Chlamydomonas reinhardtii: one gene and its partner. The protein of the gene in region 1 binds, or shares a complex with, the protein of each later gene. Links are inferred from orthologs where the notes say so. Each region holds a gene or a part of one and is shown on either strand. Other genes may lie near its edges.

What was found.
Region 2: CHLRE_16g676314v5 (region 1) and CHLRE_12g515650v5 share a complex: the UniProt entries of both Arabidopsis thaliana proteins name them as parts of the eukaryotic translation initiation factor 3 (eIF-3) complex. The link is inferred for Chlamydomonas reinhardtii from reciprocal best matches to the Arabidopsis thaliana genes TIF3H1 and EIF3K.

The regions. Positions count from the first base shown.
Region 1 is NC_057019.1:3,507,292-3,511,724, forward strand, and holds CHLRE_16g676314v5 (uncharacterized protein), read left to right. Parts: upstream 1-1,523; 5' UTR 1,524-1,619; coding exon 1,620-1,799; intron 1,800-1,961; coding exon 1,962-2,071; intron 2,072-2,504; coding exon 2,505-3,207; 3' UTR 3,208-3,826; downstream 3,827-4,433. Other genes in the region: CHLRE_16g675958v5 (uncharacterized protein), read right to left, coding at 80-376, 804-1,029, 1,105-1,145. UniProt on the Arabidopsis thaliana protein: Component of the eukaryotic translation initiation factor 3 (eIF-3) complex, which is involved in protein synthesis of a specialized repertoire of mRNAs and, together with other initiation factors, stimulates binding of mRNA and methionyl-tRNAi to the 40S ribosome.
Region 2 is NC_057015.1:3,875,029-3,879,508, reverse strand, and holds CHLRE_12g515650v5 (uncharacterized protein), read left to right. Parts: upstream 1-1,466; 5' UTR 1,467-1,494; coding exon 1,495-1,572; intron 1,573-1,684; coding exon 1,685-1,861; intron 1,862-2,055; coding exon 2,056-2,164; intron 2,165-2,326; coding exon 2,327-2,451; intron 2,452-2,731; coding exon 2,732-2,808; intron 2,809-3,211; coding exon 3,212-3,305; 3' UTR 3,306-3,961; downstream 3,962-4,480. Other genes in the region: CHLRE_12g515700v5 (uncharacterized protein), read right to left, coding at 1-275, 460-1,105; CHLRE_12g515600v5 (uncharacterized protein), read right to left, coding at 3,990-4,073, 4,146-4,292, 4,395-4,480. UniProt on the Arabidopsis thaliana protein: Component of the eukaryotic translation initiation factor 3 (eIF-3) complex, which is involved in protein synthesis of a specialized repertoire of mRNAs and, together with other initiation factors, stimulates binding of mRNA and methionyl-tRNAi to the 40S ribosome.

The DNA of each region.
Region 1 (4,433 bases):
TGAGTGCACTCCGCCCGCTGAACGGAGTCCCCAATGCAGCGCATGCCCAACACATACTCCGCCCCACGCTTGAACTAACCTCAAGATGCTGAGGCAGGAACGAGTAGCGGGCGTAGCGGTCCATGCGGTGGTCAAAGGTGACTGACGACTGCTTCCATTTGACCGAATAGGAGAACTGCACGTCCAGCGTGTCTGCGGTCGTGATGTCCACTGTGCGCATGGGGTCGCTGGACACGTTGATCTCGATGATACGGTCGTCGTTGTAGGACAGGTCGAAGTGGAAGTGGGTAAAGAGGAAGTACTTGTGCGTACCCTGCTGCACAATCTTCTCCACCTTGCCGATGAAGCCCCACACAGGCAGGTCGTCGTAAAACATCTGGGGTCAGAGCCGCGGGGTCAGAGATAAGTACCTAAGCGACGCTCAACAGGAGCACGCACAGGAGCACGCACAGGAGCACGCAAAGAGAACCTAAAGGCAACTTCTTGGGGTAGACGGGGCATATGACGGGTCAAGCCGCTGTTGTGCTTTGGCGCGCACCAGGAACTATCCTCTTCTGGTATGTGCGACAGGTTGCGGGGCAGGTGTGCAGGGTGGCAAGGCCCAACATGCACACGGTAACCCAACATGCGGGCAAACTGCGAATGAGGGCAAACACGCAATAGAGGTGTTGACCGGCGCATGGGGTGTCAGCGACGAGTACAGGCCGGGAGTTGCTGGCAGCGTGCACCGGGCCGGGACGGACACGTCCTGGGGTACACGCGCCCGCACACCCGCTGGTCCCAGTCGTGTCAACCCGCCGCACCTGGAAGTAGTAGTCCTGCTTCACGGCATCCCTGAACTTCTTTAAGTCACCAGCAGTGAGCGTGCGTTTGCAGAGCACCGCGTTCTCAACATCGGTGCGGAACTGCAGCTTGTAGGGAGTTGTCACCAACCGGTCGCCCTCAAGCACCTCGCCTAGGAATTCCGTCTTATACTCCTTGCCGTCAGTGGGCTGGCAGAACGGCAAGTTGTAATACTGGTACGTTTCCCTGCAAGGCAAGGAGCGAAAATCGCGCCGCGTTGGCGCGCGAGCTGGCACCGCTGGCTGCAGCAAAACTACTCACGTCGGGTTTTGAAAGGGTCCGACTTTGTTTGCATACAGCATGATGTCACTTCCGGGCTTGAATTTATGGTCGCTGCCCAGCAAGACTCGCTCCGATGCTACGAGGGCTACAGCGCTTCCGAGCAGCGCTGCCATCAGCAAGCTCGCGCGCAAGCGCGCCATACTGCCAAGTATACTTTGAGGCCTAGCCGCCCTCGTCAACGCGCAAGCTTTTGGCGACTGTTGCGACGATCCTAGTTCGAAACACAGGTGATGCTACTCGTTGTTGTTCAGCATAAGCACGAAGGTACAAGCGCGAAAAGTACAGCAGCAAACTGACATTTCAGGTCTGAGAGAAATTGCATTGCAAATGGAAGTGCGATCGGGCCCCGCATTGCAGCCAAACACACCCTGATCACTGTAGACATCGTGTAGTCGTATCGTTTACTCTTGTGTTTAGCTTTTGAAAAACAGGCTTTGCTTATAGGCACGGCGCCGCCGACTTAGGCCGCTGGTTTATTGCAGAGGCGCTGAAAAATGGAGGCCATCGCTCCTAAGCCGCATAAGGAGCTCGTGAAGACGGTGCAGCTTGAGGGTCAGGTGCTGCTGAAGATTATCCAGCATTGCACTGAGGCGCTGCCCCAGAACGTTACCGGCCAGCTGCTGGGCCTGGATGTTGGTCAACAGCTGGAGGTGACGGACTGCTTCGCGTTCCCGGTGAGCGCTGAGGATAGCAGGCGCTGAGGGCGCCAAGCGGACTTTTGGGCGGCCCCCAGATTGCTCGCGTTGTCGAGCACGCATAGCAGGGGAAAGTCGCGTGTATCAGCATATGCATATGCACAATAAAGATCGGCGATGGTGTGGGCCGGGTGTGTGCAGGCTACCGTGGCGGACGATGACTCCGAGGCAGAGTCGGCCGGCGCCAACTACCAGCTGGAGATGATGCGCTGCCTGCGTGAGGTGAACGTGGACAACAACACCGTCGGCTGGTGGGTGCAGTCAATGCGCGAGCTCGCGGGGGAAAGGAGAGGGAAGGAGTCAGGTGCAAAAGCAGAGGAGGGGGAGTTGACGTGGGGAAGCGCCCTTGGGAAGCGCCCCAAGGCGGGACGGTACCGTAGCACTCATGCTAGCCGCCGGGACATCAGCGGACAAGGGCATGTGCGCACTACATGAGCGGCACGCTAGCTGCGGCAACCACCGTGTATGAACCGCCTGTCAGAGTCCTTGCCTGCGGACACGAGGCCCGTTCGGCCGTTGGCGGGGCTCGAGACTGGCCTGGGGGCGACATGGCCATCAGCCACCCGCGACAGTACCGCAAGCAGAACCTCGGGGTAGCAGCCGCCGAGCATCTTCAGGGCTGGACCCGACTGCGCACCATGCGCTTGCCTACGAACCGTGCACCTGCCGGGCCGCACCCCACAGGTACCAGTCGGCCAACATGGGCACCTTCCAAACCGTGGAGCTCATAGAGACGTTCATCAACTACCACGAGAACATCAAAAAGTGCGTGTGCATCATCTATGACCCCCAGCGCTCATCGCGCGGCAGCATCGCGCTCAAGGCGATCCGCCTCAAGGAGTCGTTCATTGAGCTGAGCAAGGAGCAGAAGCTGACGCTCAAGGGCTTTCGCGAGGCCAACCTGTCGTGGCGTGATATCTTCGTGGAGCTGCCCATCCGCATCCGCAACAGCAACCTGGTGCAGGCGCTGGTGGCGGACCTGATGCCCGCCCCCACCGCGACCCAGGCGGACGTGGAGCGACTCAACCTGTCCTCGGCCCCCTTCCTGGAGCGCAACATCCAGTCGTTGCTGGAGTGCGTGGACGACATTGTGGCGGAGCAGCAGAAGGTGACCATGTACCACAAGAACGTGGCGCGCCAGCAGCAGGCGTACGCGGTGTGGCTGGCCAAGCGGCGGCAGGAGAACCAGCAGCGGCAGGCTGACAACCAGGAGCCGCTGCCGGAGGAGGACCCAAATCTGTTCAAGCCCATTCCCGAGCCATCCATGCTGGATAACTACCTGGTGACCAACCAGATCGCCACCTACTGCGACCAGGTCAACGTGGCGGCGGGCGAGACCATTCAAAAGCTGTTCCTGATGGAGGGCATGCAGAAGGCGGGGTTGTAAGCTCGAGGACCTGCGAGCGGAAGAGCAGGCGCTTGCTGGGGCTGCGGGCTCGGCTGTACAGACCCATGACCACGGGATGCAGACACGGGATGCAGGAGGATGGCACCGCTTATGATGGGTGCTGTCGCAGAGGCTGTGCTTGCAGGGGCCAAACATGAAGCGCGTAGTGTGTGCTGTGGGACTGTAGTGGTTTGAAGGCGGAAGGCGCTGTCTGGTGCAACTGCTCTACCGAGCACACCTACCAGTGGCATTAGTTATTAGGTGCTCAGTTTGAGGGACAAAGGGCGGGATGGGATTGGGTGGGGCGTTTGTGGTATGGCCGCGTTGAAGCACACACAGCTTGCGCTGTTTTGAGCGCGCCAGCTAGCGGCGCATAGGCAGACATGACGAGTGCAGAGTGTTGTTGCTCTAAGAGGGTGGACGTAACCAGTACACGATCAGACATTGTAGGAGGACTGCAGGAGTGCAAGTTGTGAGGTGTCGCTGTGTGCAACCCGCGGCAAGGTCCGTGACGGTTGACTCTCCTCGCGAGGGCGAACATGGGCGCACGTACAAGTAAGACAGCCCACATTCCCTACGCGGCAGGCTCTGCCTTGTCGGTATGTAAGCGTAACGGCATCTTCGCGCGTTCTCGTGCTCAGATATGTTAAGTGTGGTGCCCTCCGTTCATGACTGCGATGCGTGGGGTGGGTATGGGAGGTCGGTGTGCGTGGCTTAATACGGGAACATGGGACTGCGCCTCCCAGTGGCACCCCTGACGGCTCCTTCGCCAGCCTGCGCAGCCCCACAGTGCAACTGTCATTGCAGGCAAAGCCGCCGGCTTTGAGCAATGCGCCGACGCCATTTCTGCTTGTATTGGATTTGTAGGTATTAGCCTGAACTAAACCAAGGGGGGAGGGGTGAGAATCGCGCAGGCACACCCCACACTTCAAACGGCCTTTAAATCAGGGGGGGGGTAGAAAGCTCAATTTCTTACCCCATGCTCAAAATTACAGAGCTTAAGGAGAGCATTATGCACGTGCTTTTAGTTTTTCAAGGGGGCGTCTGGTGAGGAAGTTCTGGGCCGCCAAAGTTGGGGGGTCGGTCCTCGTCCCTGGGGGTCCGTCGGGTTTCGGGAGCCCATCCTGGCGGATTTCGGGAAGCGCCCCACAAGCAGAACTAGGGGCCAAACGCAGCAGTGCGAGGCTCATATGTGTACGTTATGACGTAGTAAGCACAAACCAAGC
Region 2 (4,480 bases), on another chromosome or scaffold:
GTAGTCGGGGCTGTCACCCAGCAGCCCCTGGTACTGGGCCAGCAGCAGCGGCTCCGCATACCGGTCCAGCTTGGGCCGCCCCTCAAACTCCGCCAGCTCCAGCACGTTGCGCAGCGGCGTGCCAGGCGCGGAAGCGCGTCGGGAGGAGGAGGTGGAAGCGGAGGAGGAGCCCTCGGGCGCGGGCTCGTGTGTGTAGGCGGGCGGCCGCAGCCCCAGCACCACCAGCAGCGCCTCAGCCTGGCGCGGTAGCACGAGGCACTCCTCGTACGGCAGGCCTGGGCGCGGGGCAGTCCGGCAGCGGGTGGGCGTTGGGGAGAGATGAGAGTGAGGAGGACGGACGGCGCGCAGGGCGCAGGAAAGGGTGACAAGGGTGCAGGAACGGGCTTCGCAGTAGTGGAGAGTAGAACGCTGCTGGCAGCACCTGATGGCGAGCAAGCGCAAGGGCGCAGACCCACTCACTCCGTATGGTAATGCTCTCCTCCTCTCCATCCTCCTGGGATGATGATTTCACGGCAGCTTTGCGTCTGGATACGCGCTTCTTGGGCGCCTGCAGTTCCCCATCAGGAGCCGCCGCCGCTTCCGGGCCCCCCTCTGCAACTGTCTCGGCTGCTACCTTAGTGCGACGCGTGCGCGTAACTTTTGGCTTTGCTGCAGCTGCGCTATCACCTCCAACCTCTGCTACTCCGGATGCTGAAGCAGCGGCCTCTTCGCCCGGCTCGGCAGCCTGCGCCTTGCGGCACGAGGCACGCTTCTTGGGCACAGCCGCTGCCGCCTCGGCGTCGTCCTCACTCGGCCCAGACGAGGGGTCCAGCCCTGCCTCAGTCGCGCTGTCAGTGGCAGCGGTCTTGCGGCTAGCCCGCTTCTTTGCCACTGGTACATCATCGCTGCTGCCGCTGGGCACGGCGGCGGCCGCGGAGGTTGCCCGGCGAGTGCGTTTGGGCTTGGGCGGCTCGCCGCTGGCACCGTCTACCGCTGGCAGGGCGCTGTCGCTATCAGCGGCAGACGAGGCAGCGGGGAAGCTGCGGAATCTGGGGATAGGTGCTATTGCAGACCACCTGTTGAAGGTCTGCAGCAGCGGCAGCGCCTGCCGCAACCGGAGGAGCATTGTGGAAGGTGACAGGACGCGAAGGGCGGGGCTGGCGCACGACGCTCCTCTTGATCGCTCGAGCGCCCGGCCCCTGCAGAGCCGCTCAAGGCGCGACAGTCTCTCCTAAAGCACGCGATAATTGTGGGGTTCGCGGCGTGTTCGGAGCAGGGAGAGAGCTTGGCGAGCTGTCGAGACGCGCGCTATGCAAGAAATCAGTTTCCCAGTGCGTGTATACAGCTTTACGTTCGTAGCTCATGCAGTATCGTTGCACTTCACAGACTAGAGAGTGGATTCTACCGCTTCGGAGCCCCATCATCGGCCATCGCAGCGTCGCATCCCAGGGTGAGCATCCACTTGTCTTGGTTTTCTTTTACGTTGACACTTCCTTTCTTTACATACCAGTTAAAATGTCTCTTATCGTGACTGGTGCTGATCGTTACTCGCCGGACAAGCTGCCACAGCTTGAGGCGTATGTTGATGAGCAGGTAGATCTGTATTTCTTAGCAGCCCGTTTAGTCCCCTGGCCCCTTGGTGCCAGCACGGCGACACATGCTCGGCGGCGGCAATTTGCGCTGAAAGCGTCCTGCACTGCTGCAGGTCGCGAACCGCTCATGGAGCCTGGATGCTAATGTTACGCTGCTGCGCTTCTACCAGTTCAGCCCGGCCAGCGTGAAGCCTGCCATTGTCGCTAAGGTGCTTATCAAGGCGATCATGCAGGCGCCCGCGCAGGACTACAAATGCTGCATCACGCTGCTTCCAGAGCGCCTGCTGCAGGTGTGCGAAGTGCAGTGGAATGGCGTTTAAAGCGTCAGGGCCTGGGGGAGGGGGTGGGTGGGGTGGGTTAGGGGCCGCACCGTGGGGTGCCGCCCAAGACACGCGGGGAATGCTGTGGCACCTTCATGGCTGTTTCCACACCTCTCCTGTTCCACTATTGCTCCATCCGTTGCACGAACCCTGCATTGCTGCAGTCTGACGAGTCGGTGTACAAGGTGGTGCAGCTCGCAAACGCGCTGGAGACCAGCCGCTTCGGCGACTTCTGGAACGCGGCCAACACCTGCCGCGACCTGCTGGGCGGCAGTAAGTGCAGCGCACGGGGACCTGGCTGGAGTGGGAGCCACTCAGCTAGGACGCAGGGGTTTTTAAAGGCAACGGATGCGGAATCAGAGGCAACAGAGGCGCCCCGATTGCCACACGTCACGAATGCCAATTAAACCAGCTCTATCTGCTGCTCTGCTGCAGTCCCCGGCTTCTACGAGTCGGTGCGCGGCTTCATCGCGCACACGCTGGTGCACACCTACGGCCGCGTGACCAAGCGCACGCTGGCGGACTGCCTAAAGCTGGAGGGCGCCACGCTGGAGCAGTACGTGAGTGATGCATTGCGCTTACGAGTTTCTTATGGGGGGGCGTGGTGGCGGCAGTGTCTCCGTGTGCGTTTACATGTGAATGGTGCGCAGTAAGCAGGGCTGGGTTGGGTAGAAAGGCGTTGAGGAGCGTCGCTTGAGGACGTGAGCGAAAGGGTTAAGCTGTGTGCATACGGCGGGGTGGGAGATTGTGACGCCGGCTTGAAGGTCCCTTCGCCAGTGCGCCTCATCAGCTAGCATCAGGGTAAAAACGCGCCTGCTGGCTGCTTGCTTCTGACCACAGCTGTCTGAAAAGTGCAAGTCGGCTGGCTGGAGCATTGTCAACACGCCCGCTGGCGAGGTGGTGGGGCTCCCCAAGAAGTGAGTACAGGCGCAGAATTCTGGACTGGCCTGCGGAGGGGGCGGGGTCTGCTGGCATTGCTAGGATGAGGGGCCGGGAAGCGGGGCACGCGGGCACACCGTGGGCGCACGCAGAGCTGAAACAGCTGATCGAACATGGTAACATGTTTGGTGCCTCCTGTGCCACATGGCATGATAGCGCCGCGACATCCCATGTCCACCTGCCCACCTCCAATCCTGCCGCACCTGTACTCTGGAAATGCACACCCCGCAAACAACCTCTCCTCCTCCATCAACACTCACCTACATATCGTGCTTATCTAGTATCAGATTGTCCTAAAAACTGGGGTTGTACCCCAAGTGCTACAAGCTCACGCCATTCATGGCCCTCCTGCCCTGTATTACGCCCGCGTTCTGCCCGCAGCGACGACAACCAGTCGGTCGTGAAGCGCACCCAGGAGCTCATCCGCTTCGACCAGGTGGCGCCCATGCTCAAGGCCGTGACCGTGGGCTTTTAAATCAACGCTACTACTGAAATTACTTGACGACACGACCATGACAGCATGACACACAACCATTACTGTCAGACTCTTCTAGGCATTAGATAGAAGACCGTTGGATCCCGGTATGCCCATCGGGTTGTAGACTTGAGTGCGTGAAGGGCATTCGTTGAGAAGCCGTGCCCCGCCTTGGGGCGGTCCGCACACGCATGCGAAGGCATCGCAGAAGGCGTTACTGTACTGACTTTGTTCGGCGGTATGGCACCCCATTACAAAGGAGGCTAGCTGGAATAGTACACGGCGCTTATGTAGCCAGCTGCTGGTGGCGTGTAGCGAGCTTAACGGGAGCCATCGCCTTGGCCAAGCCACGACAGCAGCCCCTTGACGGTGCTGCCTAGGTTCTCCGCAGCGGCGACGCTTGCACTGCGCGAGCCACCGCCGCTGCCCCCCGCGCCAGGGCCGCTGGCACCGCCAGACTCGCTGCCGCCTGTAGGAGCCGAGCCGCCGGTGCCGGGGCGCGGCGCGCCTGCGGACGGGATGTTGCTGCCGCTGCTTCGCTGCGGGCTGTTGTGCGCCGGCTGCCCAGTGACGCTGCGCCACAGGCGCTGCAGCTGGTCCAGCGGGCCGGGCGGCGGCCGCTTGGCGATGGATGCAGCGCGCTCGGCAATGTCGGCCTGTGTGAAGAGATGGGGTTAGAGGCGCTTAGCTTGGAGGCACCCACAGGAGTGCCAAGAGTGCGCAGTATGCATGCGCGTGTATTGTGTAACGTAGAATTTGTTTCGCGTCCTTTGCGCCGTTTGCTTGCTTGGCCCAGATATCGGTACTCTCTGATGCAGACACCTTCCGTACCCTGCCCACCTGCGATTGCGACATGTCCTGGTACGCGGTCGCGTGCGCCGCCGCGCTGGCCGCCCGCTCCTCCGCCTCCTTAGCCGCCTCGGACGCCTGGGCCACGCGCGCTTCCGCAGCCACAATAGCGCTCTCCGCCGCGCTCTCCAGGCCAGCCTGAAGTCACGGCACAAGGGAAAGCAAACGTCAGCTACCCGCCCAAAGCGCAAGTGCCCACATCAGCGTTCATACGCTCGTCAAACCACAGCCATTGCACACCTGCGCCGCCGTGGCTGCTGCCGCCGCCCGCTCTGCCGCCTCTGCCGCGCGCGACGCGGCGCTGCTGGCCGCCGCTGCGTAGGCTG